6 linked regions of the Sus scrofa genome follow. The protein of the gene in region 2 purifies or fractionates together with the protein of the main gene of each other region. This does not show direct contact. Links are inferred from orthologs where the notes say so. Each region holds a gene or a part of one and is shown on either strand. Other genes may lie near its edges. The genes, in order: PRKCZ, LLGL2, PARD6B, PARD6G, DCAF1 and RAD18.

Region 1 (4,728 bases), on a different chromosome or scaffold from region 2:
AGTCCTGTGAGCGTTAACGGAAGCCGGAGGCGGGGCTGTGGGACCCTCTGAGCTATAGCCTGTCAGTCAGAGGTGACAGCCTGGACCCACGATGGGCCATCTCAAGCGGGAGGAGGGGTCGGTCGGGTGGGATGCAGTCTTGCAGGTGCAGGCTCGGGTGCCCCCCCCCCGGGGGGGGGTGGACGGTGTCAGACCTAGGTTGATGCAGGAGACTTGGTGCAGGGCCCGACTGCGTCGTGCTGCAAAGGCACCCACGGAAATGTACCGAAGGCTTGAATGAAAGAATTGCTGCTCAGGAGCCAGCCCTGGGCCTGCCCTGCCGCTGGGGTGGAGGGGGAGCTGGGAGCTGGGGGCCAGGATCTGGGCCCCAAAGAGCCCTTGGCACAGAAGCCTCGGGGGGATTCATAAAGGGTGTGTCCCAAGTGAGACCCTGCCTCGAAGGAGGCAGGCCTGGGTCCAGAGCACTTCCCCCCCCCCCCGCCCCCGCGTTTCCCCCTCCTTACCGCCCCCTCACCTCTCCCTCCCCACCCCATCTCCCCTCCTCATCCCCCCTCCCTTCTTCATCCCCCCCCCCGTCCCCCCTCCTCACTCCCCTTGCCTCCCCCTCCTCACCCTGTCTCTCCCTCCTCACTCCCCCCCATCTCCCCCCCAACAGACTGACTTGGGCACACTGGACACTCATCCCCCCAAACCAGAGGGCCCAGCCCCGAGAGAGGTGCCAACATCTCTGCCACAAGAGGCATGGACGCCCCAGGGACAGGAACATCTGTCACAGGGGACGGGAGGCGACTGCGGGGCGGGTGAGCGCAGGTGTTTGCTTTGTGGAGGTTGCGGGCGCCCGGTGAGCCAGCCGCTCGGAGGCGGTGGCCCCGCCAGCGGTCAGTGCGTGCACAGCTCCCCGTGCGGGCGGGCGGGTGCTAAGAGCTCATGCGACAGCTCTCAGTTCACCCTCGCGGAAGGTGCAAAGGTCATCCCAACTTGACGGAAGAGGATCCTGAGGGCAGAGAGGCCCCCTGACCCGGGCTCAGGCCAGGCCGCTCGGGCTCACAGATGCGGCCAAGGAAGGACACTGGCCCCCGGTTTGCATCAGTGAAGGAGTCGCGTCTAAGAAGCGCCAGGTCCTCACCTCTGAGGCACAGCACTGGCTCTCTGCCCATTCAGCTGTCCCGGTGACCTCTGAGCTAAATGTCTGGACGACCTCAGAGCCCTCCGCCCTGCACGGGACTGCCGTGTGCCGGAGGCCATGGCCCCGCTCAGCAGGAGCAGCCCTGCCCAAAGGTGCCCAGCTCACCTTGGAGTTTCCATAACTGCCCAGCAAAGAGGCAACAAACTTCTAAAAACCCCTGGAGAGAGAAGCCATTTCCCACACTCACCTCGGAATCATCTTTGATGCCGTCGTGTTTCCGGGTTGAAGAAATATAAGCAACTATTGGAGAGAGAGGAAGGCCAGGTGTCAGGAGCACTGCTGGGACCGCGGCCCGAGACTCGGGGCCCCCGCCCCGGCCCTGCCGACGCATGGCGGCCCAGGCCAAGCCAGCGGCGCTCAGGGCGAAGGCCAGGAGCAGCCACCTCTGACTCAGCTAGAGTCTTAAGAAAATGCAGCTTCCTGGGCCCACCTGGACCTGCTGACTTGGAACTCTGGGGAGGGCCCCAAACCGGCACGGTGGCAAGTTTGCCGCGTGCCTAGGACTGAGGTTGTGGGGCCTAACCTTTCAGTCTGTTCTTACAGGATGCAGATGGAAAGCTGGATGCATGGCTGGTTGAATGGGTCCTGGGTGGCAGGTGGGGGAGGGGGTGGATGGCACGAGGGTCGGGTGGGTGGTGGGTGGGTGGTGGATGGTGAGCAGGTGGGTGGGCAGGTGTCAGGAGTGTCCTTTTCAGGAGGTGCTGGGCTATGGGCTTTATGTTCCGAGGCATCATTTCACCTGGGGGCGGGGCCCATATGTATCAAGGGAGGGGCCAGGCCTTTCACACCCATGTAACAGTGCACAGAATTGCAGGAGCTCAGAGCTGGGCCGTCAGTCCAGCTGGTGTTCAAAACCACTCTCTGGACACCTTTTAGCCTTAGAAAGTCTCCCCAACCAAAAAAACCCCCCAAAACCCCACGAAACCCTGAGAGGTACACAAGAGCGTGTGGTGTGAACAGCAGGCCTTTCCACGGCGATGGGCACCCAGTGTGTGGGAGGGGCCATGGTGGCTGCTGCACTCCTGCCTTCTAGAACCTCCACAGTCAGCAGAGGGAAGACCCTCCCCCTGCCACCGGGCCCCTAGGGCAGCCGCTCACAGACAGCTGGGCGCCCAGGAAGGCCACCCCCCATCTCCGCCTGGAGAGCCCACCCCAAGCCCCCAGGAGCCGCTGAGCTCACGGACACTGGCCCTCGGGGAGAATGGGATGTGGGGGAACCGGCTGGAGGCAGAGGCGGGCGGGCATCCTGGGGCCCTACTTCCATCGGTGTCCTCGGACGGAAGGTCCACGCGGTCACTGCTGTCGTCTACTGCAGGCTCCTGGGAAGGCATGACAGAATCCTGCAGAGAGACGGCGTGAAGAGTGACCCGCATGCTGCCACGTCACGGTTCTCACCACTCAAGCGTCCGTTCCCGCACTGGCCTGGAGGAAACCCTGCGAGTCGCAGGCAGAGGGGACCGCCCGGTGCCTCGGGCCGTGGCCTTTGCAGTGGGCGCGCTCTGATACGCGTGCATCCACGCAGAGTCCCCTCCCAGCCCGCGTCGTGTGCCGCCAGCCATCAGACACCACCTGGCTCCGGGTTTCAGGGCGGATGTCACAATGGAGGCAGGTCCCTCCTGGTGAATACCGCAGCCCCGGGCATCCCTCAGCCTCTGGCCGTGGCCTCGGGGCTGGTCTCATTTCTCAGGCTAATGTGGACCTAGAGGATCGAAGGGCGCGGGCACCTTTCTAGGTTTTGGCAGCTGCGGCTGAGCCAGCGCCTCCCGCATCTGCGGGACCCGTGTCCCAGCACTCCGGCAACACCGTGTGACACCTCTGCCCTTGCTCCAACCCCAGACGTGCCTTTCCGGCTCACTCTGTGATGGGACCTGTGCTCGCGGAGCCCGGGGGGCTGATGGTCACTCCAGCTCCGCTCCCGGGCCATCGCACGTGGCCGGCCAGGTGGAGCGCCAGCAGAGGCTGGACACCTAAGTGGGCCTTCCCTGCGGGGTGGGGCACTGGGGCTGGGCCCGGGGCCTTGAGGGTCAGGGCAGCCGGCTTCGCCCCCAGCTCCTAAGCGCTGCTTCCTGCCTGGGCACAGACCCGGACCACCAGCCGGGCTGTGGCCCTGCAGTCCCAGGCCCCGGGCCTGGCTCCACTCACCATATGCCTCTTGCAGGTCAGCGGGACGAGGCCGTGGCAGCGCTTATGGACCAGCAGTCTGCAGCTGATGCACCTGTAGCCTTGCCTCGCGAGGCCCCATATCCTTTCGCTGCACTGGCCGCAGTACGCTCCCTGTGCGGGCGACAACAGCGCCGTCAAGCGGGGCCGGTGCCCCCGCAGCCCCAGTGGCCCGAGGGGACGTGCTGCGCGGCCACATGGAGCTGGGGCACCAGGCCCAGCCGCCCCCACCTGGGTCCTTCCCCGGGGAGGGGGGAAGCAGGGGCCCCAAGGAGGGGGCTGGGCTGCTCGTGAGGAGACAGGCGAGGCCCAGGGTGGGGGTGATGGGACCCCTCCCCGCAAGGCCCCCGGCTCACAGGGCCTGGAGGTGGGAACAGCCAAGGGCCCCGGGTGGGCAGAGCGTGGGCCGCCTGGCCACCCAGGAGTCGCGGCCGCGGGCATCCAGCCGCAGCGGGACTGCGAGCTGACTGGGGCTCTGTGCAGTGGTCTGGGGCTTTTTTCCAGCTTTTAAAAGACTTTAAACGGCCAATTTTTGTTCTTCTCAGCTCTGAGCACGTGAATTTCATGACTACTATGTGCTGGCTCGGGGCAGCTTTCCCACTTTGGAATGTCACAACACGCAGGGACGTGAGCGTGTCCAGAAGTCTGGCCGCACGCCCGCCACCCAGAGCCCAAGCTGTCCTCACAGGCGCATGGCGTTTGCACACCTACGGGCTCCCTGTTGAGTTTTTCCACATTCTAGCCTCTTCAGAGAGTCTCAAGTCTCTCCTGGAGACCAGAACAGAACCCCCCCGCCCGCCAGCCGTGGACTGAGCTGAGCTAGGAAATGGAGCCACCCCTCCGCAGGTGTGGACCTGGGGTGCCACCCAGCCCCACGGGACGGCTGCTCACGGCCAACGGCCACCAAGAGCCCAGGCCCCTCCCCACATGCAGGGCTCGTGTCTGTTAGTCACAGCCACACAGCCGCACCCAGTGGGCGCCCACTACGTGCTGAAGACACACACATGCCCACAGCTTTCAACTTCCATAACAGGAAAAGGGAGAGTGTCTTCCAAAGTCCCCGTGTGGCTGAATCCACCCCCCAATTGTGGGGCGCCCCCGGGACCCACCGGAAATGCAGTGGACGGCAGTGAGGGCCAACGGGGGCCACAGGGCCAACCCTCTTGAGACCTCAGCCCTGGCCAATCACCTGAATGACGGCACCTCCACCCCAGGAGGGCAACTGCTGGGGAGAATTCAGGATCCGAGGAAGGAGCATCCGAGAGCCAAGGCAAAGGCCTTTTTTTTGGCTTCTGCTTTTAAGGGCCACACCCATGGCATGTGCAGGTTCCCAGGCGAAGGGGTTGAACTGGAGCTGCAGATGCCGGCCTGCACCACAGCCA
Region 2 (5,345 bases):
AATTCCGAGATAAACCGTAACGGAAAAGAACACACCCAAGAACCTACACAAAACTGAATCATCTTGCTGGGCAGCAGAGAGTCACACATCGTAAATCAACTACACTCCAAGTCAAAAGAAACAAAAAGGAGTTCCCATCGTGCCTCAGTGGTAAGGAACCCAACTAGGGGGTCAGGAACCCGAACAGGGTTCGATCCCTGGCCTCGCTCAGTGGGTTAAGGATCCCATGTTGCCGTGAGCTGTGGTGTAGGTCGAAGACGCCGATCTGGCATTGCTGTAGCTGTGGTGTAGGCCGGCAGCAGCCGAAGCTTCGATTACGTCCCCTAGCCTAGAAACTTCCATATGTCACGGGGTGGGGCCTTAAAAAAAACACAATAAACAAAACCCCATTGCTCTATTAGCCCCCTGTGCCCCAGCCCCGCTGCCAAGCCCCATCCAGGCACTGCCCATCTCCCAGTGCTCTGAGTTCACCTGCTTCTGATTGAAAGGCTGGGAGGGAGGGGGAGAGAGAAAGGCCCAGAATTACCTTCTCTAAACCATAAATGAGATCCATCACCCCTGCCCAAAATCCACCAAATGCTGCTGTGTGAGACTGACTCTCTGGTTCCAGCCTCCCTCGACCCCACAGCTGGGGGCTGGGCGGGGCTGGTGTGGGTAGGACCACCCAGGCTCCCCAGCCTTCCAGGATCTGGCCTCCCCCTTCCAATCCCAGCCCTTGGGGCTCCTCCATTTACTCAGAGCCTAGGTGAGACTAATCCCCTCCCCTCCCCAGCACCCCCCCAACTTCCCCTCCCCCCTTTCCAAGCCCAGCAAGTGGAATTTCAGACCATCAGCACCCTTCTTGCCACCAGCCTATAAAAGTCCTCCAGGGCAAAGGCCTTATCATCTGAGAGCCCCACAGACAGCAGGTCCTCAATACACATCTCTAGAAAGTGAACGGAAGGAAGAAGGAATCCCTGGAGCCTCCCCTCCCAGGCGGGCCAGGCCCGAGGGTGGTGGTGGGGGAACAGCCAACTTTGGGGGCAGATTGGGGGAGGTGAGGGGGGTGGTTGCTGATTCCTCTCCCCAGCCCCACCTCAGCCCCACCCTGCCGCTGCACGGTCTGAACTTGGGGCGGGGGTTGGTCCCTGTCACTGAGCCTGTCTATCCGGTTCCCACTGGAATTGGCCACCTTTTTGGGGTGTGAGATGCCAGCATCATCAGGGGCAACAGAAGGCAACAGGGGTCACCCAGGCCCCGGGGTGGGGGAGGGGAGGTGCTGAGGTTCCAAGACGCACACCCAGCACCCATAGGCTGCTCCCTTAGGAGTGAGAATGGCAGGCCCCCAGGAGCCCCGACATCCCCCATTCATAATGTATGCACCCTCATATCCCGAGAACCCGAAGCCCTGCCCACAGCTCCCTCTGCCAGAGGAAGGGAAACCATCGAGAGAAGCCCGGACCCCAGAGGTCTGGAAAATCAGAGGAAAATGGCAGGGGACCCTCAGCCGCTGGGAACAAGCCCCTGGGGGCTCTCTCTCCCTGGGAGGCAGGCAGCCCCTGAAAATAGCACCTAACATTCTGGGAGCACCGTGCTTAGCACCAAAACGATCTAACCCCATGCGATCCTCATAACGAGCCCAGGTGACAGGCACAAGGTCACCCAGCTGCTAAGCGTCCAAGCTAGATTTGAACCCCACCCCGCAGCCTGGCCTGGAGGAGCCCTGGGACTCTGGAGGGCAAAAGCCTCCCCTTCCTGCAGCCCACCCTCCAGGGTAGAGGGACGCGTAGGACGTGCAGGCGTGGAGGCCATGGGCCTAGATCAAAGCAGAGAGGGGCTAATTACCCCAACCGGCTGCAGATTGCTAGGTGGCCTCGGAGCTAATAAACCACGCTGGGCTCCTTCCCCTTCAGAGGTCAGCCCTGGCCTTCTCAGGGCCCAGCCCCCGTGGGGAAGCTCTGGGGAGTTTCTGGGACCATCCACCCCTGTGATCTCGGGTACAAAGGACACTCCCTTCGGGGGCCTTAGGAGCAGGTGTGGGGTAGGAGCAGTCAAATGCCAAGCCCAGCACCTTCTCCCAGGCGCCTCCCCCAACTCACCCAGGCCAAGAGCCTGCAGAGGAACCCATGTGCTCTGCCTGCAAAGAAAACTGTTTTCCTTTGGGGGCAATTTGAGGAGGGAGGAAAGAGCCAAGGCCTGGGGCCCCGGGGCTCCAAGGAAACTGGCATCTCAACCCTGGTACACTTAGCAGCGTTCAACGTCCTTTCATCTCTGTCAGCCCTAAGCCTCCTCAATAACCCCATGAGGTGGCAGGCAGGGTGGGTTGTTTAATCCCTATTTTATTTATTTATTTATTGTCTTTTTTAAGGGCCGTACCTGCGGCATATGGCAGTTCCCGGGCTAGGGGTCGAATTGCAGCTGCAGCTGCCCGTCTACACCACAGCCACAGCCACATGGGATCCGAGCATCTAAAACCTACACCACAGCTCACAGCAATGCCGGATCCTGAACCCACTGAGCGAGGCCAGGGATCGAACCCACATCCTCATGGATCCTAGTCGGGTTCTTAACCCATTGAGCTGTAATGGGAACTCCCCTAGACCCACTTTAAAGGGCGGGAAACGGAGGCTGGAAGAGGTGGAGTGACTTGCAGAGGTCACACAGCCAGCGGGAGGCGTGGACGGGGAGTGCCCACTCCTGGGCCCTACAGCCCTTTCCCAGGAAAGCCCTCTAACCAGCCCCCAGTTCCAAAGTCACATTTCTGTGAGCCATGGTGGGCAGTGCCAAGTAAGTACCTTAATTCAGGTATGGGTGCCCCCCCACCCCCGAGGGTGCTACCTCAGTGCCACCATCACCACCTGGCCGGCCCCTGGCTTCCCTTACCTTGTTAAACTGGAAGAGGTCCCGCTTGAGCCGCTCCCTGGCAGGGTCGTGTCCAGGCCTCAGGAACCGCCTCATCTCGCGCGTGCTCAGCCCCCTGGGGAAACGGGAGAAGCCGCTGAGCCCAGGGCAGGGAGGCCTGGGCCCAGGGGCCCAGGTGAGCAGCCTCTCTCCCCAGGCCCAGCAGGTGGCCACCACCCCGGCCAGGCCAGCTTCACCCCCGGAAAGAAAACTCCAAGCGGGAAGGAGCTCTGTACCTGGCGGCCGGGCAGGCGATGCTCTGACGCTTGCTCTTGGCCACCTGGGGCCTTTTAAAGCCAACGGGAGAAGCTGGGGGAGGAAGCCATTTAGCCTGGCTTTATAGGAACTGGGAGGGCCAGAGGCCCTGAGGTTAATTAAGCTTAATTGTTAACCTGTTTGCTGAAAAACCATAAAACTCTGGCCAAACAGAAAGGGAAACTTCACAAGGCTCTTGCTCCAGAAGGTGGGAATGCGGTTCACCTGGGCTCCCAGATCGGAACCACGGGGGTGGGTGGGGGGAGGCCCAGAAATTCCAGGCCAGGGCCCCCGCAGGACTCCCTGGGGAGTCGGCTCCCCCGGGGCAGATGCTGCCTTCCAACTTCAGGGAAGGCTGCCAAGGGCCTAGGCTGCTCCCGCCAGCCACAGCCACAGCCGTCAGGAACCTCCTGGCGGGGGGCAGGGGCAGGGCCCAGCGTCGGGGGTGCGGTCCCATCCCCCACCCCGGGCTTCCCGGCTGCCCCCACCCCCCATCTCTGGCTCTCCCTGGTCCTGCTCCCCTGGGCTCTGACGGGGAACATTCAGAATGGCTCCCTCTCCCATGGGCCCAAGTGGAGGCTAATCAGAAGACGAAATCTGCTCCCAATAAAGAAACCAGCTCAAGGCCCCCAAACCATCCGCCCCCCGCCGTGGAAGCCTTCCCAGTCCAGGGGGAACTATTTCTGGCTCGGCCTTGGGGGAGGGGGTGGGAGCCTGTGAGCCCGGGCTTCCGGCTTCCAGGAGCGCACCCTCCCTCTGACCGTAGGACACCGAGGCCTGCCCTTGGAAACACAGGGGCTCAGGCCCACCCCGGAAATGGCCTCGTTCACACACGACAGGGAAGGAGGCAGAGCCCGCCCCCGCCCTGGAGGAGCTGCCTCGGGGGTAGGGGCAGGTCAAGTGCGCCCAGGGCCCCCCCCCCCAACAGGGAGGCACGGGGTGGGGGCGGGGGTCCTACAGGAGAAGAAGGAAGCTAAGCTGAGGTCTGACAGGTGCCTTGAAGTTCCTGGCTTCTTGGAAGGTGACAAAAATGAGCCATCGGGCCAGGACTTGGCATAGGAAAGGACCCTGGGAGGCGCGGGCAAGGCAGAGCTGGGGGCACTCTGTGACAGTGATGCACGTCCCGGGGCCAGCCAAACATGCCCAGCTTCTGGGGACTCTGAAAAGGCCACCACTTGGGCGGGTGGCTGAGAGGTTTGTGCCTTCACGTGTGGGGGGAAGCCAGAGCAGAGCGGGGAGCCCCACTTCTCCTGCGGCAGCAGGTAGTCGGGGGAACTGCCCCCTTCTCCCCCCGGGGGCCCTGCAGCAGGTCTAGCGAACAAACACGGCGAAGTCCCGAGCCTCCTGGGCCAGGGACTGAAAACAGACTCCGAGCCTGCAGTGACCTCGGCCTCCTGGACAAACAGCTGAGCTGGTGGCCTCACATTCCAGCCATGGGGGAGGGTGGCGCCAGCTCATCCATCGGCCGCCCCAGGCCCCTGGGGGTGCCTGCTCTCCCTCCCCCAGCCTAGGTCACTGGGTCAAAAGTCACAGGAAGCCGGGAGGGACGCCCTGGAGGAGGAGAAGGGCCTGCAGCCTCCAGGGAGAGGCTGCTCTGGGCCGTGGAGTGGGGACGAGAAGGCACAGGGGCCATCTGTGCCAAGGACCCACACAGGCTGAAGGGTGACACCGAACAGTCCTGGGGGTCAGATGTGCAGGTCAGAGGTGGGGAGAGGGATGAGGGGTGGGGTGGGAGGCAGCCCCACTGGGGAAGGGAGGGCGGCCCTCCATCCACCCACTGCCCACCAGGTCGAGCCAGACCTTCGTGTGGTAGAACACGATGCACCTAAACCCACCCTGGGTGTTCGTTCGCCTTCCAGAAGCCTCCTGGAAGGTGAGTGGGATATCCCCACTTGGCAGACATGGAAAGAAAGACCAGAGAGGCTGGGCAGCTCGAGTCACCGAGAAGGAACCAAAAGAACTCAGACTTGGCCCCGGGTCTGGCGAGGAAGTCCCAGATCTTAGAGGCTGCGTGTGACAGGACGGAGGATGCTTAATTACACCCCTGCCGTTAAAAGGCGCGGCCGCACACACACACTTCAACTCGGAGCCAACCAAGCAGTTTGGGGCTTGGGGCCTGGCCGCGGGCAAGGTCTCCCGGTGGCCTTGCATGTATCTGCTGCTCATTCCACAGGGGGTGCTGGGACCCCACTGGCCTGGGGTGAGTTGGC
Region 3 (4,551 bases), on a different chromosome or scaffold from region 2:
GTTATAAGGTATCCATTCTAGCCCTACCATAAAATTAATCAATAAATAACTCTGCAAGAAATATCCATAAGCCACAGGAACTCACGTGGTTCACACTATTCTTCGTCTCTATATACAAGCAAACTGTAGTGCCTGTGGCCCTCAGACAATGAAACCAGGCAAGGAATGAAAGTTAGCAGCCTTACTCTTACCTTGTTCTAAGTGGATGCACTGGAAAGGAATAAATAGCCTCACAAAATTAATGGAGATATACTCTACCTGTCAAAGGTGAATACTACATACTTTTCATAAAGTGTAGGCAGTGTTCCTAGAAATCCCATTAAGGAAAACCCAAATTTTTCATATAAAAAGTGCACAAGGTTGTCCTGTGTGTAAAATCTCTTAATTTGGGTGCATTTTTTAAACGAAAATATTGACACTATTCGAGTACATTAAGAGTATACAAGCAGACCAACGAAACACACAAACAACAAAAGGAATGGTTTCCAACGAGATTCGGAATGAGAACAAGAAGTGCAGGGAGAGAGCCTCCCGTATCACCAGAGTGGATGGAACTGCCTCTGACGCTGTAACCTACACCTACACCCGAATGGAATGAGATGATACAGACAAGAGCTACGGGAGGGACAAAGGCGGGTCTGAACATCTGTTGGCGTTTCTTACTTCAGGAACATAGCTTCCATGAGGGAAGCGACTCCTAAAATCAGTCCATTGGTTTGATTTCTTAGAAATTAGGGAAAAAAGCAGTGGAAAATATTACTTGCTAAAATTAGCAACAGAGGAACAACACTAAAAAAAAAAAATCAAGATAAAACACGGGGAACATAGGAGCTGAGGTCCCCAAAGTACCAAAGATAGACTTCTTCACATTAGAATTTTAAAACATACAGTTAAGGGGAAAATTATCCAGGCTCTGCACAGCAAGTTAAATATGTAACCACTTCCAACAGAAATGGCCTCGTCCCCGCGCTCGGTTCTGGGAATGTGCTCTAACATCCAGTGCTCTGTAGACAAGACAGCAAAAGCACGTCATTTCATTAGCAAAGGCCCCCTTTAGACTTAAATTCACCTCTGACCCACTGGTTTATATTAATTATCAAACTACTATTTTAATAACATGTGAAGCTTGCACTATTATTTTTTTTCATGCCTATCCCAGATCACTGGTTCAGAGGTATATATGTTAGACTAGCCAAATTTACAAGTCTCCACGGCATCTTCATTCAGAAAACACTCAAACAATGGTTTCATAGTGTTATGATTGTTCCATCTTCTTCTAACAGTTTTTGATCTGGAGCACGCGTTTCAAATTCTGTATTTGTGCCACTTGCTACGGGTGCTAAGCTGACTTCGTTAGAAGGAATAAAACCGTTCTGTCCAGATTCAAAACTGAGTTCTATTTGCGTTAAGGACTCCAGGCTCTCGGTGTTACGAACAGCCTTCGGGATCTGCTGCGGCACTCCGCTGTCTTCAATGATGATGTCATCGTCATCGCTGTCTTCATCCTCGGGCTCAAAGCTCGGCTCGACCTGCTGAGGATAGCCAAGGAGGCTGTTATCCGTAGACTGGCCGGAGCTGCCAGAAGTTCGACTGTTCCTAATGACGTTATTCCTCTGGTTCGCGGGTCTCACTGTGATGATGAGGTTGCGGCTGTTTGCGATCATCATGTCTGTGACTTGATCAAGACTCTTCCCTGAAACTTCGATGCCATTAACTTCTAAAACCTCATCGTTAACAGCTAATAGTCCTGTGCTTTGAGCCAGACCTCCTGGGACAAGTCTGGATATAAAGATCCCTGGGACCTTCTCTAAGCCATGCGGTGTCACCCTGACACTGGAGCCATCCCGGATGTAGAATCCTAGAGGTTTCTCAGTGCCGTATTTGTAAAGGCGGACCCTACGATGCGTTTCTGGAAGAATATCCACATCGATAATAGAAGACACAGGTCGGAAGTCCTGGGGCATACTAATGACTATATGTGGCTTTTTTCTATGGTTGTCAGGACGCAACACATTGGTTAAAACATTCTTCTTCTTTATTAGTGTGTCTGTACCAAAGGCACTGTAGTCCGCTTCTTCTGTTTAAAAATAAAATAGAATAATTACAAAAATGCTGTTAAAACACTCATTTATCTTCAGTGGAATCTGTACAGAAAGGCTAACTCAAAAACATATTTGGTACATAAACAAACTTAAATATTAGCTTATTCTAATCAGATCAAAATGCAGTGCAGTAGGAGTTCCTGCTGTGGCACAGTGGGTTAAGAATCAGACTGCAGAGGCTCTAGTCACTGCAGAGGCATGGGTTCAATCCCTGGCCCAGTACAGTGGGTTAAAGGACCTGGCATTGCTGCAGCTACGGCTGGGATTCAATCCCTGGCCTGGGACCGTCTATGTGCTGTAGCTGTAGGTGCAGCCATTAAAAAAAAAAAAAAAAAAAAAAAAAAAGGAGTGCAGTAGTAAGATATGCTATACCAGAAAAAAAACACTAGGTGGCCCTCTCAAGTATCATTATAAAAATCTTTACCAAAAGTTGAAGTTTGATAAAGCTCAACAGTTTCAGCACCATGGAATATGGCAAATGACATGCTGAGGAGCCTCACATTTTGAAACACCACCTAAAACAAATCATTTATACAGTATTTTCCCTATGTTTGTTTAAAAACCTATGATTTGCACGTTTATCACATTCAACTCAAGGACATGAAACTGGGCACTTCTGAAGCTTAAATACCTATAATAGAGGCTGGGCAGACAGCGTACAGGCAGACCTCTTTTTATTGTGCTTCTCCGATAATTGTGGCTTTTACAAATTGAAGGTTTGTGTCAACCCTGCACTGAACAAGTCTACTGGCACCATTTTTCCAATAGCATTTGCTCAACTTCATGTCTCTGGGTTACATTTTGTTAATTCTAGCAAAATTTCAAACTTTTAAAATTATTATACCTGTTATGATGCTCTTTGATCAGTGACCTTTGATCTCACTATTGCAAAAAGATTAGAACTTGCTGAAGGCTCAGGTGATGGATAACATTTTTAGCAAAAAAAGATTTTTTTAAATAATAATGCATTTTTAAGACAAAATGCACACATTTGCATTATAATCTGTGCAAAAATTCATGTAACTTGCTTTATCATGATATTCGCTTTATTGAGGTGATCTGGAGCCGAACCCACAATATATCTGAAGTCTGCTTATAATTAAACAAAGCAGATAATACTCATGAAATGATAATGCCATGAAATGAATGCATATCAAACACAGAGATTTTGGTCTTCTGCAGATACACTTTCCCTCAGTTTTCTGGAGGAGTTCTTTTTTTTTTTTTTTTTGTCTTTTGTCTTTTTGTCTTTTGTTGTTGTTGCTATTTCTTGGGCCGCTCCCGCGGCATATGGAGGTTCCCAGGCTAGGGGTTGAATTGGAGCTGTAGCCACCGGCCTACGCCAGAGCCACAGCAACGCAGGATCCGAGCCGCGTCTGCAACCTACACCACAGCTCACGGCAACGCCGGATCGTTAACCCACTGAGCAAGGGCAGGGATCGAACCCGCGACCTCATGGTTCCTAGTCGGATTCGTTAACCACTGCGCCACGACGGGAACTCCTCTGGAGGAGTTCTTAATCTTTCGTTTTTCCAATCTTGAAAGAGGCTGAGGTGTTACGATTTTTAACTTTTTTCTTCACTATGTGAAAAACATTAAAATGCAATGATATTTTGTTTCAGTGGCGGGTCAAAGACAACAGTGAGGGCTGAGGACTCCCAGCAGAGCAGAGCCCCTGTTTTAGCTAAAGGCACAGCCGCTCCTTGCTCCAGGCAGCTTTGCTTCGTGGACTATAGGAATCTGTGTGGCCATTTCAATTGGTCAGAGAGTCTCAGGCTTTTTTTTTTTTTCCGGTAAAAAATTCTTCCCACTTTTAAATGCTGACACCTAATTAAGTAACAACAAAAACCTGTTTGAGCAAAATAATGCCTGGGGGTTGAATTCATTCTCCAAGCCAGCAATTTATAATCTTGATGTAAACAAGGCAAAAGCAGGGCACCTAAAACCAGGTCTTCTTAAATCGCTCTGCTGGAGGCAGCCAGTCTAAAACAGCATCTCTCATCAGAGAATGAGAGGAGACGGAATCAACAGGAGGCACAAAATGTGAAATCACGGTTCAAAAATAACTGAAGTGGTGATAAACTAAGAAGTCAGAACCTCCCAGGATAAAAAATATTTAATAAGAATAAAAGAGACGAAATGCCCCCCGCCCCTCAAGAACTTGTTTAAATTCGAGTCTCGGCCACCGCTGCGGGCGGACAGACAGCGGTAACATCGCTGGACCGAGGCTGCAGGGCTTCCCGCGACATCCTCTTGTCCCCGGATGCTCAGGGCCCCCTCTGGGGATAAGTATTACTACCTTTACTTTATAGATCAGGAAACTAAGGGTACGAAATAAGTTAGAGACGAAAGTCTGGACCCAGGTGTTCTTACTAGGCCAAGACCTTGGGCCGTCAACGCCCGTGGCGAATGTTAGGGGGTGTCCGCTGCGTGTCAGAGGACAGAGAAC
Region 4 (5,360 bases), on a different chromosome or scaffold from region 2:
TTTAGGGCTGCATCTGTGGCATATGGACGTTCCCAGGCTAGAGGTCAAATCGGAGCTGTAGCTGCCAGTCTGCATCACAGCCACAGCAAGGCCAGATCCAAGCCGCATCTGCGACCTACACCACAGCTCACAGCAACACCGGATCCTTCATCCGCTGAGTGAGGCCGGGGATAAAACCTACATCCTCATGCATACTAGTCAAGTTCATTACCACTGAACTACAACAGGAACTCTAGTAATCATTTTATATAATGAGCAAGATAGCAAATGTTTTTGAGTTTGTGTGCATACAGTTTCCCTCTCAACTATACAGCTTTGCAACTAGAGCACAAAGCCAGCCAAAGACATGAACGAGTGAGCATGGCTGTATCCCAAAAAACTTTACTTACAAAATCAGGCAGCAGAGCAGATTTGGCTGGCACTTAGCTCTTCATGTTGGCATATTATTTTTCATTAGGAAGGCCCATTTTCATTAAATGAGGTAATGCCATTGTCCCTAAAGCAATCTTAAATTAAGAACATAATCTTAAATTAGGAACCCCTGTTTACTCCCTTTACTGATATTTTAAATTTCATCCTTTCTATGTCACTTTGTTGTAGTTATATCTCTTGTTTACTGTTTTTAACTGGATACTACTTAGTGATAAAATCCAAAGCCTGGAGCTCCCTTCATGGCTCAGTGGTTAAAAACCCAACTAGCAACCATGAAGATTCAGGTTCTATCCCTGGCCTCACTCAGTGGGTTAAGGATCCAACGTTTCCCTGAGCCGTGGTATAGGTCACAGACACAGCTCAGATCTGGCGTGGCTGTGGCTGTGGCTGGCAGCTGTAGCTCCAATTTGACCCTTAGCCTGAGAATTTCCACATGCCACAGGTGTGACCCTAAAAAAGAAAAAACAAACAACAACAAAAACACAAATCCAAAAGCCTTAAAAGAGGTGAGTTTTATCTCATTCACATTTGTAGGCAACGCATAGACGCTTTCAGTTCCTATGTCTTATGTTACTTTTTTCTGCCTACAGAATTTAATAAACATTTCACATGTTTGTATTAGTTTCATGCCCTCTCTCTATATATGTATATTTATATACATAATGTTCTGAAAATATGCAATGGTTATATTTTTGTTTTAGTTTTCCTCTTGATCACATTTAAAACCACAAATGTAATTAATACACTCCTCTATACAATTAAATTAGCATGTTTGTATTTCTTTTAACTTTTTCTCCCATGAATTTACACTAAGAAAAATGATATAACCAACTAAAATTGGATTGTAAACCCGTATAGTACACTTTATAATAATTTTAAACACCCATTTGTCGTTTCTTCTTTGCCTCATTAAACATTCCGACGGTGACGATTGGGATTTTGGCAGTCCCGCTTCCAGAGCTCTCTAGGTAGTAAGTACTCATGACATCGCTAACAATCAATGCCATCTTTCTCCCAATATGTTCTTTTTCCTATCAGCCTTGGCATAACTCTTCCTTCTCGTCAGTCCTAGAGGTGTTTCTGACTCTCTCCGTACCTTTTTACTTTGGCATGTGTTAGACTATGCCTTAGGAGTTCGCTCCCCGCAGAACCTTTACCCAGACCATCTTCCACATGGCAGCTAGTGCGGACAGGTGTGCCCAAAGGGGTCAGGCCTCCAGTGATTCCCATATCGTCCAAAAATCAGCCAAGATCAGTCTCCTTCCCAGGCCAACAGGTGGAGGCAAGCAAAATCTAGTGCGGGCTGCTTGGTGGGAACGAGGCGACTGGGGGGGGGTCGGGCGGCGCTGCTGCTCTTCTGGGCTCCTGCGTTTGGAGCGCGCACCTACCCGTGAGCGCGTCTTAGGGGGCGGGCCCGCCGGGCGGGGCTTGGGGGGAGGGTCCTCGGAGCTAGAGGGAGGGAGGGAGGTGGGAGGGCGGGTCGGTGAGCCGTGGGTGGGGCCTGAGGGGGCTGAGTCTTCGGAGGAGCACCATGCGAGTCCTCGAGGCTCCGAGGGTGGATCCTTAGGGCGTTCCTTCAGGAACCCATCCTTGGGACGCAGGGCGGGACGTGGGTCCTCGGGGCTTGTGGGGCGGGTCCTCCGGGACCGGGGCCGGTTCTCGGTACGAGGGGCGGGGCATGGGACCTGGTCCTCAGGACGAGGGGCGGGGATTGGTGGTGGATCCTCCCGGCGCAGGGCGGGACCTGAGTCCTAGGGCCTCGGGGGGCGGGTCCTCGGGGCGGCGCGCGCTGGCGTCCCCCGCTCCTCCCGCGCGCGGCCCCTGGAGTCCCCGAGGCGCGCGGCCAGCCCTGCTCGGGCTGCTGCACTCCAGCTGCCCGGCCGCCGAGCAAGCGCGGGCCCGGGCCGGGGCCGGGGCCGCGGCGAGGGGCGCCGCACCCAGGGTCCTTCTGCAGCCCTCGTAGCGAGGAGCGAGGGCGAAGACGAGGCTAAGTGGAGCCGGAACCATGAACCGGAGTTTCCACAAGTCTCAGACCCTGCGCTTCTACGACTGCAGCGCGGTGGAAGTCAAGAGCAAGGTGAGCCGGGGTCCAGCAGTTTGCCTACCCCCCTGCGAATGAATGGGCGCCCCGCAGGGGACTGAACTGTGCGAGAGGGACTGGCGCCGGCGACAACTTTGGAGCGCGGCGCGGTCGGTGGAATGTGCGGGGGTCCCCCAGTCCTTCCCGCCCCTCTGCGCGCGCACAAAGCCCGGCAGCCCGATAGGGTCCAGCTGGAGCCGTGGCTCTCTGAGGGCCGCGCGGCCGCCGGACCCTTCGCGGGAGCTGCTCTTTTGTTCCACAAACCAGCGGCGACCCGGCGCGCCGCACGGTGGAGGGGCGACGTTTCCGGGGCTACCCGAGGCTGCTCGGATTCGGGGCCGTGGAGGGGCCTCGGGGGCCCGGGCGAGGGGAGGGCCCTGACCGCGCCGCCGCCCTCGCTGAGGAGGAGCCTCGGAACCCGCAAGGGGGGAGACAGGCTGCGGATCTCCGACCCCTGGACTGGACCCCCAGACCCCGGCCCCGCCCTGCGTACCAGCCCCTCAGCCTCCCGGCGAGCCCCAGGCCCAGATTCCCCCGGCGCGCAAGACCGGCGGCCCCTCCCGCTGCCCGCGCCCTGGCCCAAGCTTGCCCGAACTTGCGGGTGGCTGTACGTATTTGGATAATTGGCTGATAGGATCTGGCGCTTCTGCCCTTTGCGGAGGCGGCTCCTTTGCTGCAGACGCTTTTGTCTGCGAGGGTCTCGGGTGTCCGTGGTGAACCCCGCAGCAGAGGAGGAGCTGCAGTTGTTCAGGGTCCTGGAGGAGGGGCCCCTCGGGCTTACTGCTGCCTGAGAGCCGGTTCTTGCCCTTTCTCTCTGCGCGCCCCCCACCTCGGAAAGCAAAGCAGAGGAGCCTGAGTGGTGGGAGAAGGAGGGTGGGCTCCGACCAACTCCGCGCACACTCGAGTCTTGAGGCTTGTGTGCCCTGGCCCGGTCTCTAGGAAGACAAGTCCAGCGGTCCCCTGCCTGGGCTGCCCCTACCAGCGAAGGGGGATGGGGGTCCTTTGGTGTAAGATTCCCAGGGTTTCCTCCGAGAATTGGTGGAGGGGGCGCGGGTTATCTCCGCGGGAACCTCAACGCAATGAGTTGCGGAATTTCATCACCATCTCGTTGAACAGTGTTTTTATGAGATCCTCATGTCCAGTTACTCCGAATACTAATTCTGTGACCCTTGCCCAACACTCATCCCCTCTTCTAGCCCCAGAGTGCCTTCCCATACTGCCATCAGATGTGCCGGCCGTGAGTAGTGGGACGGGAAAGAACCGACAAGCATGAGTGAGGGCACCAAATAATTGACGTTTCATTAGCTCAGTGGGAATAAGGCTTTTAAAGCTCATTGTCCACTACAGTAGCCACTGAGCACTTATGGTGTTTCATTTTAACTTTCTGTTTTGAGATCATCATAGATTAACAGGCAGTTGTGAAAAAGAATACAGAAACTCCTCCAAAAGTAACATCTTGTATCACAGTGTCACACCTAGGACCTCATTAGACTTGTTCACAAGTGTTTTTAGGTCATGCACTTTCATCAGTGTGCACATTCCTGAGACCCAGCAGTCACAATACAGAGCACTTCCATCTCAAGGGTATCTTCTGCTGCCCTTTCATAGCAGCTATTTGACTCCAAGTGTGAGTTGATTAGCATCAATATCATACACTCTTCCTGAGTTCCCTGTGCTCAGTAGCCACATGCAACTTGCAGCTCCCTGACCAGATGCAACTCCAGAGGGTCTATCCAGAGGGGACAGCCCTGGAGGAAATGACCTCACAAAGCCTTATCCTACAGTGCTGGACTGTTGACACTGTGGGCCAATGGGTTCTGGAGAGTTGAGTCTGCCTTTGCCCCTCGTTGGGAGCTGGGGGCTGTGGGTGTTCTGGTAGCCCAGTGGATGGCCTTCTTGGCTTCCCAGTGAAGAAGAAGGGGCACTGCTCCATGCCCCAAGCCTGGGTTGAAGTTCAGATGCAGCGAATGCTCCCCAGAGGTGAATGGCAGAGCCAGACTTTTGGTTGAATTTGGGAGCAACCCTGGCCCTGGGCCCTGTTGGGCTGTCTGGTTATAGACACACCACTAGCAGCAGCAGCAGCGGCCTTTTTGGATAATGGGGCTTGCCTTACTTTTGTCCAGGGGGTTCATGTGGCTCTTCCCTCTGTATTCGGCCTTCCACTGACCCCCTTAGTAGTTAATACCTAGAACCATTGTGTCTGTCTCTGCAGGGGGTCTTGCGCCAGCTGCTGTTTTCAAAATATGGGGAAAAAAAACGTGATGACAGTGATGTCTTTATCCAGTCTAAATGTAGCACCTAGCACCTGGGTTTGTATTTGGATAAAATAGTGCCAGGGAGCTGAGCTCAGCAGGTTTTGCCACCTACCTTGTGAGCTTTCAGTCAAGTTATTTAACTTTTCTGAGTCTCAGTTATTTCATCTGTAAAATGGCCATTGTGCCGGTTCTGCTTACCTCCTAGGATCAAATGAGGTAGTGAATGTGAAACCACTTTTAAACTGAGAGCAGGAGTTCCCGCTGTGGTGCAGTCAGTTAAGAATCCAGCTACGAGGCTGCAGAAGCAAGAGTTTGATGCCCGGCCTGGGAACTTCATATGCTGCTGGGACAGCCATTAAAAAAAAAAAAAAAAAATGTTGAGAGCACCCACTGTTGTAAGAATTAAGCACTCAGATCAGGATTCTATGGCGTTTCAGGATATTGGGTCTAAAAATCACCTCTGATCCTCTCAGAATTTTTGGCATTAGCCATGTGCCACAGCTGGTCAGTTTCCAAAGCCTTGGGGACTTTATCTTGACCTGGTGCCTCAACCCCTCCCCCAAACATTTCAGCTTTAAAACCTGTGACTGGGC
Region 5 (4,728 bases), on a different chromosome or scaffold from region 2:
GAGAGATATATATTATTAAAGTATATTATTATTAAAGAATTTTATCAATCTGCTTTATCTTCCCCAGCACAGCTCAATGGCCAACTTTTACTTTTTTTTTTAAGGGCCACACCCATGGCATATGCAGGTTCCCAGGCTAGGGGTTCAATTGGAACTGTAGCCACCAGCCTACACCACAGCCACAGCAATGCAGGATCCAAGCCACATCTGCGACCTACACCACAGCTCACGACAACGCCAGATCCTAAACCCACTGAGCGAGGCCAGGGATCAAACCCACAACCTCATGGTTCCTAGTCAGATTAGTTTCCGCTGTGCCATGACAGCAACTCCCCAACAGGTTTTAATAATAAAGCTAAATAATTTTAAGAATTTTCTTTTTGTTTTGTTTAGGGCTACACCTGAGGCATATGGAAGTTGCCAGGCTAGGGGTCAAATCAGAGCTGTAGCTGCCAGCCTCACCACAGCCAGAGCAAGGAGGGATACAAGCCACATCTGTGACCTATACCACAGCTCACGGCAATGCAGGATCTTTAACCCAAATTAGCGAGGCCAGGGATCAAACACATGTCCTCATGGATACTACTCAGGTTCATAACTGTTGAGCCACGATGGGAACTCCAATAACAGTTTTCAAATCCTACAATTCTTCAGTCCATAGCCCACATATGAAATAATGAATATATAAAAATAATGTTTAATCTTTTATTTAAAAACTAGACTCGTAATACTTTTTGCTTAAAAAATAACACAATGTTCAAATAATTGGTGCATATATTTCACAGCTTAAGATGCATCACACAAAATGGTTTCTATTCAGTTTGAGTTTTCTTCATTTTTGGCTGCCCCATGGCACATGGAGTTCCCGGGCTAAGAATCAAATCTGAGCCAGAGCTATAAGCTACAGCCATTGCACCACAGCAGGAACTGTGCAGATACTAATCTTTGTTCCAAAACATACCAATTAAGTTCAGAAATGACAGTAAAGTGGAATTAAAGATGGATTCTTTCAGAAAAGATTTTCACATAGAAGGTAGGATAGCTAGCACTTTTCCAAAAAAGAAAGCCCTTTTACACACATCTCAGTTCATCTTTTAGTTCCGGTATCCCAGAGAAGTAGCAACTTAAAACTGAGATAAAGTAATTCCTTGGTACATTCATTTTCAAGTATTCTGCCTCCAAACAGTGCAAATATAATTCAACAATGTACATCTTACATGTTGAGACTCACTGATAATGAATGTGCATTTCAGGCCCTAGATATTACAGAGAGTGTTAACAACATTCCCTTTTAAAATAAGCTTCTCTCACCTTGTATGGGGGTTGAGGATGAACAAGAATGCCACCCTCAGTCCTCTGAAGTGACTGCTTCACTTGTTCTAATTTAATGGCCAGGTGAGCCTCAAAGTACTTGCGCAAGGCCATGCAGGTATGTTTCCCAGTTTGGCGGCTAGCAAATATTTCATCATCACTCAGAAGTGCACCCTGATCTTCCAAATTTAGAATCTCCAAAGTACTGATCTATAGGGAAAGAGGCAAAAGAACGGGCCAAAAAAGGAGCAACAACAAAAAGGAAAAGGAAAAGAAGAAAGATCTCAGTAAAATTTTATGCCCAAGAATACTGATAAAAATTAAAGTACATCGGTCTATACATGCTGAGAGCAGCCATATGAAACTAAAACATTAAATCTATTGAAAAGCTGCATAGCTTTCAATCATGTTGAAATACACAGAGGCACAAACTATAGCTTTTAGAAAGATTAAGCTGTTCCACTTTAGATAACTATATCCAAGGCAAGTCTACAATGGCACAGTCCTAATACGAGAAAAAGAATGTACATATATATGTACAACAGGGTCACTATATTGTACAGCAGAAAATGTCAGATTATATATTGACTATACTTCAATAAAAAGAAAATACAAAGGCACAGTCTTCTAACCACTTAAGAAGAAGAGAAACTTGTGAATGAAGGAGGAAAAAAATACTTCATCCATAAAAATGACAGCAAAATTCCTCCAGTCGGTGGGTCTGAAGGAAGATCCCTACTTCGCACAAAGAGAAGCCACTGAAGGATCTCACCAAGTTCACGAGACGACGGAGACCATCATAGCGGTCAAAGAGTTCCAACACAGCCCGAAAGGAGAAGCAGATTGAGAAAAACATGGTAGCATGGCAGCATCCTGAGGCATGAGAACATTCCATTAACCACAAGGTATAGTTCACCACATCAGACAGAACATTGTGGGGATGCATGCAAACCTGAAAAACATAAAAATAATTTTTTAAAATTTTGGGGAAAGGAACCTTCAAAGGGGATGAAAAGTTCACCAGTGTAGTTAGATATCTTTGCAGAATACAATAATCACCCCTAGACAACTGATTCTGAGTTTAAAGCTTAAGTTACAAATAAAATTTTCTAACAATCTATTCCAAGCCTAAAAATAACCTAAATTTAGAGAAATATTTACATTAAACCTACACTGAATGAAATTTTGCAAATATTTACATCCTTTAATGCTCACAACATTCTGTTAAGTAAGTATTAGGATTTCCACTTAACTGATGAGGAAGTGGCTCAGAAAATTAAGGGACTTCCCCAGGAGGATAAATGTGATTGAACCTTCTGATACTGAAGTCTACTTAGTATCCATTCACTCACTGTCACACACATTTTTTTGTCTCCTATAGGTCAGACTATGAATTATGAAGCACTGCCCAGGTTTGCTTGGTATTTTTTTATCTTAACCACAATTACTTTTGTATATACATACACAAGTTAGGTTACTATTCTCAAAAGACTACACATCCTTGCATAATACTGATCTCAAGGGGTAAAAAAAAATTAAAATCAAAATATTACTTTATTAATAAACATGTAAAGATAAATACAGACATGGCTCAAGAAGAATTTACCAACTTCAGGAGTTCCCATCATGGCGCAGTGGAAATAAATCTGACTAGGAGCCATGAGGTTGGGGGTCCCATCCCTGACCTCGATCTGGCATTGTCACGAGCTGTGGTGCAGGTCACAGACATGGCTCGGATCTGACGTTGCTGTGGCTGTGGTGTAGGCTGGCAGCTGTAGCTCCGATTCGACCCCTAGCTTGGGAACCTCCATGTGCCATGGGTGTGGCCCTAAAAAGCAAACAAAAAAAAAAAGAAAAAAAGAAATTACCAACTTTACTCCACCACACAGAACTTTAGAAAAATATTACAGGCACAGAAATGACAAGCATTTTGCTAGTGGTATCTAGGGACCTATGTCTTTTCAAATGTACAACCCACTTACATTTTTTTTTTTAGTCACTAAGTCTCAACTAGAAAAACAGAAGAACCAGATGGGGAACCTCTGGAGCTCTGAGAACAACTGGAATGATTTTACTATCTCCACCAAGCTATTTGTTAACATATACAACCCATCATCTCGTATCATCTGTTGTTTTTATAACAGACTGACACAAAAATGCAAAATATAACTCCACTGAGGGATATCTGAAAGGAACCTGAAAATAATTCTAATGCAAAAGAAATGGCAAAAACTAAAAAAGTTCCCTGACCCCAATCCATCTTGAATTTTTTTTTTTCAGAGACTCAAAAAAACAAAAAGGACCTTTTTTAAAAATTTTTACATTTTGGACTTCTCCTAAAAAATTTTACATTTTTAGAATGCTTTGTAAAAATCAGACATTCATGCTCCTTGCTTCTTTAAAACTTAATCCAACTATTCATTTTTTCTTATCCAAAGGTTGTCCCGTGACTGTGTAAGAGTGTTCCTCATGCTACCTTATTTCCATACATTTGAAGGGACTGGACTTACTCTTTCCATGGCATCCTGGTTGTAGGACAGGTAGTACAAGCACATGGACACACCAGTTGCAGCCATAGAAGGACGAGGAATTTCCAGTAATTTCTGTACTCCACCATGCGCAACAAATTCTGTAGCAAACTTGTTATGGAGCAGGAGAGATGCTAGATGCTAAACAAAGAAAACACATGTCACAGTGGAACAGTCTAGAACAAACATTTCTTCACAAATTATCAAGGTGCTAAATACAAGGACTCTTCTGAAATAGACAACCATTGTCCTACAACAGAAGTAAAAACAATACTTGCTTAAGGGAAACAAAACAAAAACACAACAAACCAAAAAACTTCCAGTTTCATCCCACTGTCCAATCATCAGTTTACACATTTTATACTCACACACATTCTGCATCCCACATACAAAGATACATGCTACCCCAATAATTATCTGATCTCCTCAAAATTTTAAATTCCTGGGGTCCAGGAGTTTCTGCTGTGGCTCAGTGGTTAACGAATCCGACTAGGAACCATGAGGTTGCGGGTTCGATCCCTGGTCTTGCTCAGTGGTTAACGAATCCGACTAGGAACCAGGAGGTTGCGGGTTCGATCCCTGGCCTTGCTCAGTGGGTTAAGGATCCGGCACTGCCATGAGCTGTGGTGTAGGTCACAGACGCGGTTCGGATCCTGAGTTGCTATGGCTGTGGCGTAGGTCAGCGGCTACAGCTCCAATTAGACCCCTAGCCTGGGAACCTCCGTATGCCACAGGAGTAGCCCTAGAAAAGGCAAAAAGACAAAAAAAATAAAAAATTTAAAAAAATAAAATTTCTGGGGTCTGAAAAGCAAATTACCTTATTTCTATTTAATTTCAATATTCTCTGGAACTACACTGTCCAGTGCAGTAGTCACTGGCCACATGTGGC
Region 6 (4,728 bases), on a different chromosome or scaffold from region 2:
TTATGTGACCAGATCCAGGATGAGGATATAACTAAAGAGAAAGGTGGCTCAATGTCTCCCGAGGTGTATCCTTCCAAATTCTAGTTTTGCAAGATTAAGTTAGGAGGACAAAAGAGTTTGGGGGGGGGTCAAATAAATATAGGAATTATTAGATAAAACAAAATCCAACAATCATATTTGATGTAGGACTTCTCAGAGCCTTCAGTCCACTAACTTGCACAGTGAATCTTTCCCTGTGAGTATGCATTGCTTCTAAAAGCACTACAGAGCAAATGGCAGGACTTTAGCTTTCCATCGAGCACTTTGGAACCACTAGTGGAACCTGAACTTCACTATTCATGGATGTGTATGTCTTTAGATAAATTGACAGAGCTAAGTATGTTAGAAGAAATATGATGGATGTATCTGGAAAAAGAGAGACCAAGCAGGATTATCAGTGCTGATTCCTTACTGGTCAAGAAGAAAATGCTCAGCTTCCAATCTCCCAACTCATTCTCTAGGAAAAAGCATTTCTAAAGAAGTCATCAGATTCTCACAGCTTATGGGAAATAACCCTCGAGATGATCCAGCTTCATTTATTCCAAATCCCAACTAACTAGGCATCCTAAAAATCTAAATTTTATTCCTGTCAACAAACTTAGCCACTAGGACTGATTGCTGTGCGTGCAAGACTGCACAGGCATCTGATGCCAGGATCCGTCTGTGGAGGAATCTTAGGCCCTACAGGCCACTATGGATAACAGGCAGGGACCAAGGCAGGGGGAGGGTCAGGTGGATCAGCACAGGCCCAGGCCCCTATTTCTACTTTAATGGAACAGGGCCAAGTTTACCTGCTTCACATATTATGGATCACTGTAAGATTTCACTTGAAAAAAGGTTCTGCTAGGGAAAACAATATCAAGCTAAGAACACAATAATAACTGTTAATTGGTGTCCCCACTGTAAATTAAGAAAGTACCACTGTGCTTTATATGTTACCTTTCATAAATTTTAACAGCAAGAGTCTGTCCCTTGGAAACTGAACTGAATCCAGATATACTCATAAAAATTAAGTGATACTATTTTATCTTTAATCATAAATACGATAAAGTACTCCTGCCTAACCAGCATGATTTTTGGAAAAGACTCTTCCAAGTTCTTCAAAACAGACCAAATGGAAGTGCCAATTATTCTGTTCATTCTCACCTCCTAGATAGCATTGGTTTCTTCACTTTCCTTCCTCTCCTTTCCAGATACCTCTGAAATATCACTTATTCTCTCCCCTTCCTTCCTGTTTCAAATGGGTTCTTTTTGCATGTCAAGGATAGCTTCATTACTGGACTTCTGATCTCTTATACTTTATATCATTTGCTCTCTCCCTGGAGATAGTGTAAGGAAGGAGGCTAAAAGCTTATATAATTTCTATTTGAATAAATAAAATCTTCCTCGATTTTGCTGCTTATTCCTTCCCCAAACCACCATTCCATCTCTCCTCTTTCCTTCATCGCCATACTCACCTAATTTGCAACTTCTGCTTCCCTATTATCTTCATTAACCACTGACTCTTTAACACTCTCAATTTAACTTTGATTAAAATGTGATTCCTAGACAACTTGTATGTGTAAAAACAGCAGTCTAGTTTAATAAACTACTTTGACTTCAATGTATAAGAGAGGCAGAATAATGTGAGTTTAGGTACAAATATTGGGTTGACAACTTACTTATCTTACCTGGGTAACTGGAAGACAATATAGATTACAATTCAAACATACCCTTTTGTATCTTTGAACATCATGTGTGTATGGTAATTAACTATTCAGAAAAAATAAATTTTGAAAAAGCTAGATTTAAAAAATTTAAACTTCTGAGCTTCCTAAGAACTAACATAAGCTTTAATGTGTTCTATGTTCAGTCTAACCTTGCTTTCTTTAGCCAAGGGTTTTATGGTAGTTCTAAGATTCTAAGAGAAAAAAACAAATCTAAAAAGAATTATTGAATTCTAAGTCATTAATTTCTTGTTCAGTCAAATTTTATTAGCATATAATAAAGTTAATTATATTTGGCAAGATAGGAGTTGAGGAAAGAATAAAGAATGGACAGGTGGCTAATATTTTATAAAGCAGAAGAAGCAACAGCTAAAGTAGCTCAATGGTTGTGTTTAACTTTCTTACCTTCTGAGGCTTTCTTTCTTCTCTTCACGTGATAAACAGCTGTCTAAGTGCTTATTAATGTGATTTTCTGGAATATTAACCCCACAAACAGGACAATCCACTGTATTTTTCAAAAAGAGAAGAAGATTTCATTATTTATAGAAAAAGCAAAAATAACATAACCTGGCACCTTCTAGCAACTAAGATAAAAAACAGAATCCAATCTTAACACACACTTAAAAAAGTATAAGAGAAAAAGGGCAACAGGAGTGGAACAGACTCCTGATTACTGAATAATGACTATACTGTGGAAAATAATAATAATAATTAGAATCCTAGTTCTGAAGGAAGATACTGCAAAGAAGTCTGGAAATTCTTTTACTAAAAAATGCTTTAGTTAAATCTTTTCCACCAAAGCATGACCAAGCTATAAAACTAATCTTAAGTATTTCCTAGTCTTAGGAACCATTAATGTTTAGCACTGAAGCAATCATAACAACTTGAGTAAGACATACCTGGCTGGAGATGGAAGGTGGGGGAAGGGTATATGCAGCTAAATAAAATAATATATTGGCGTGGGCCAACTACTCTTCAAATTATTCATGGCTACAAATTTGTTAATTTAGCTCTCATTTGTAGCTACAGACATATTTCATTTTACTGTGCTTCACTTTATTGTGCTTTGCAGATAACGCTTTTCTTTTCTTTTTTAAACAAATTGAAGGTTTTTGGCAACCCTGTATTGTCTGGTGATGGCCAGCATTTTCTTTTTTAAACTTTAAGTATAGTTGATTTACAATGTTGTGTTAGTTTCTGATGTACAGCACAGTGATTCAGTTATATATAGATTCTTTCTCATATTCTTTTCAATGAGGTTGATTATAGGATATTGAATACAATAGGACCCTGTTGTTTAATATATTTTTAATATAACAGTTTATTACCTGCTAATCTCAAACTTCTAATTATCCCTCCCTACCCTTTCCCCTTTGGTAACCATAAGTTTGGTTTTCTATGAGTTTGTTTCTGCCATACTTCAGATTTCACATATAAATGATACCATATGGTATTTCTCTTTCTCTTTCCGACTTACTTCACTTATTATGAGAATCTCTAGGTCCATTCACATTGTCTCAAATGGTATTATTTCATTCTTTTTTTATGGCTGGGTAGTATTCTGTTGTGTGTATAAGTGTGTGTGTGTGTGTATATATATATATATATATATATATCTTCTCTATCCATTCATCTGTGGATGGACATTTAGATTGCTTCCATGTCATGGCTATTGTAAACAGTGCTGCTATGAACACAGGGGTGCATGTAGTTTTCAAATTAGAGTTTTCTCTAGATACATGCCCAGGAGTGAGACTGCTGGATCATATGGCAACTCTATTTCTAGTTTTTAAAGGAACCTCCATACAGTTTTACATAGTTGGCTACACCAATTTATATTCCCAGCAGTGTAGGAGAGTTCCCTTTTCTCCACAACCTCTCCAGCTTTTGTCATTTGTAAATTTTTTAACGATGGCCATTCTGACCAGTGTAAGGTGGTACCTCACTGTAGTTTTGATTTCCACTTCTCTAATAATTAGTGATATTGAGCATCTTTTCATGTGCCTATTGGCCATCTGCATGTCTTTGGAGAAATGTCTACTTAGGTCTTTGGCCCATTTTTTGATTGGTTTGTTTGGGGTTTTTTAAATTAAGTTGTATGAGCTGTTTGTATATTTTGGAAATTAAGTCCTTTTTGGTTGCATAGTTTGCAAATATTTTCTCCCACTCTGTAGGCTGTTGTTTTATTTTGTTTACAGTTTCCTTTGCTATGCAAAAGATTTATAAGTTTGATTAGATCTTTTTTATTTTAGCTTTTATTATTGCCTTGGGAGAATGACCTAAGAAAACATTAATACAATTTATGACAGAGAATGTTTGCCTATGTTCTCTTCTAGGAGTTTTATGGTATCATGTCTTAAATTTAAGTCTTTAAGCCATTTTGAGTTTATCTTTGTGTATGGTGTGAGGAATGGTACTAACTCCATTGATTTACATACAGCTGTCCACCTTTCCCAACACCACCTACAGAAGAGACTGTCTTTTCTCCACTGTATACTCTTGCCTCCTATGTTGAAGATTAACTAAGACAGTATTTTTAAACAAAAAAAAATTTAATTAGTGCATGTACATTTTTTTAGTCATTTTTTCAGTCATAAAGCACATAATAGATTATAGTATAGTGTAAACATAACTTTTATATGCACTGGGAAAGAAAAAAACCTGTGATATTTGGATATTTGCCTTATTACGGTGGTTTAGAACCAAATCCACAATTTCTTCAAGGTATGCCTGTGCAAGTGCAGTGTTAAAAAGTGGAAATATTATTCTCCATCATGTGAGAAAAAGAATGTGTTTATGTATGTGTGTGTGTGTGTGTGTGTGTGTGTGTGTGTGACTGGATCATTTTACCGTACAGCAGAAATCAACAGAATATTGTGAATCAACTATAATAGAAAAAATAAAAATCCGAAAGTATAAATAAATAAAAATAAAAAGTGGAAACATGATCACTTGGAAACTGATGAATTCCAGGGATATGTGG

What was found.
Region 1: the proteins of LLGL2 (region 2) and PRKCZ purify together in Homo sapiens (affinity purification with mass spectrometry; 7 studies listed by BioGRID and IntAct, counting the BioPlex papers as one, with this or other methods). This does not show direct contact. The link is inferred for Sus scrofa from reciprocal best matches to the Homo sapiens genes LLGL2 and PRKCZ.
Region 3: the proteins of LLGL2 (region 2) and PARD6B purify together in Homo sapiens (affinity purification with mass spectrometry; 7 studies listed by BioGRID and IntAct, counting the BioPlex papers as one, with this or other methods). This does not show direct contact. The link is inferred for Sus scrofa from reciprocal best matches to the Homo sapiens genes LLGL2 and PARD6B.
Region 4: the proteins of LLGL2 (region 2) and PARD6G purify together in Homo sapiens (affinity purification with mass spectrometry; 4 studies listed by BioGRID and IntAct, counting the BioPlex papers as one, with this or other methods). This does not show direct contact. The link is inferred for Sus scrofa from reciprocal best matches to the Homo sapiens genes LLGL2 and PARD6G.
Region 5: the proteins of LLGL2 (region 2) and DCAF1 purify together in Homo sapiens (co-immunoprecipitation; 3 studies listed by BioGRID and IntAct, counting the BioPlex papers as one, with this or other methods). This does not show direct contact. The link is inferred for Sus scrofa from reciprocal best matches to the Homo sapiens genes LLGL2 and DCAF1.
Region 6: the proteins of LLGL2 (region 2) and RAD18 purify together in Homo sapiens (affinity purification with mass spectrometry; 3 studies listed by BioGRID and IntAct, counting the BioPlex papers as one, with this or other methods). This does not show direct contact. The link is inferred for Sus scrofa from reciprocal best matches to the Homo sapiens genes LLGL2 and RAD18.

What each region holds. Positions count from the first base shown.
Region 1 is NC_010448.4:64,131,750-64,136,477, reverse strand, and holds part of PRKCZ (protein kinase C zeta type), read right to left. Parts: intron 3,461-4,728; coding exon 3,329-3,460; intron 2,527-3,328; coding exon 2,445-2,526; intron 1,427-2,444; coding exon 1,374-1,426; intron 1-1,373. UniProt on the Homo sapiens protein: Calcium- and diacylglycerol-independent serine/threonine-protein kinase that functions in phosphatidylinositol 3-kinase (PI3K) pathway and mitogen-activated protein (MAP) kinase cascade, and is involved in NF-kappa-B activation, mitogenic signaling, cell proliferation, cell polarity, inflammatory response and maintenance of long-term potentiation (LTP).
Region 2 is NC_010454.4:5,831,884-5,837,228, forward strand, and holds the start of LLGL2 (lethal(2) giant larvae protein homolog 2), read right to left. Parts: upstream 3,521-5,345; 5' UTR 3,117-3,520; intron 2,957-3,116; 5' UTR 2,938-2,956; coding exon 2,863-2,937; intron 1-2,862. UniProt on the Homo sapiens protein: Part of a complex with GPSM2/LGN, PRKCI/aPKC and PARD6B/Par-6, which may ensure the correct organization and orientation of bipolar spindles for normal cell division.
Region 3 is NC_010459.5:52,208,201-52,212,751, reverse strand, and holds the end of PARD6B (partitioning defective 6 homolog beta), read right to left. Parts: intron 2,078-4,551; coding exon 1,248-2,077; downstream 1-1,247. UniProt on the Homo sapiens protein: Adapter protein involved in asymmetrical cell division and cell polarization processes. Probably involved in formation of epithelial tight junctions.
Region 4 is NC_010448.4:128,247,597-128,252,956, reverse strand, and holds the start of PARD6G (partitioning defective 6 homolog gamma), read left to right. Parts: upstream 1-2,248; 5' UTR 2,249-2,437; coding exon 2,438-2,509; intron 2,510-5,360. UniProt on the Homo sapiens protein: Adapter protein involved in asymmetrical cell division and cell polarization processes. May play a role in the formation of epithelial tight junctions. The PARD6-PARD3 complex links GTP-bound Rho small GTPases to atypical protein kinase C proteins.
Region 5 is NC_010455.5:33,705,331-33,710,058, forward strand, and holds part of DCAF1 (protein VPRBP), read right to left. Parts: intron 3,981-4,728; coding exon 3,822-3,980; intron 2,264-3,821; coding exon 2,084-2,263; intron 1,522-2,083; coding exon 1,312-1,521; intron 1-1,311. UniProt on the Homo sapiens protein: Acts both as a substrate recognition component of E3 ubiquitin-protein ligase complexes and as an atypical serine/threonine-protein kinase, playing key roles in various processes such as cell cycle, telomerase regulation and histone modification.
Region 6 is NC_010455.5:65,324,292-65,329,019, forward strand, and holds part of RAD18 (E3 ubiquitin-protein ligase RAD18), read right to left. Parts: intron 2,251-4,728; coding exon 2,151-2,250; intron 1-2,150. UniProt on the Homo sapiens protein: E3 ubiquitin-protein ligase involved in postreplication repair of UV-damaged DNA. Postreplication repair functions in gap-filling of a daughter strand on replication of damaged DNA.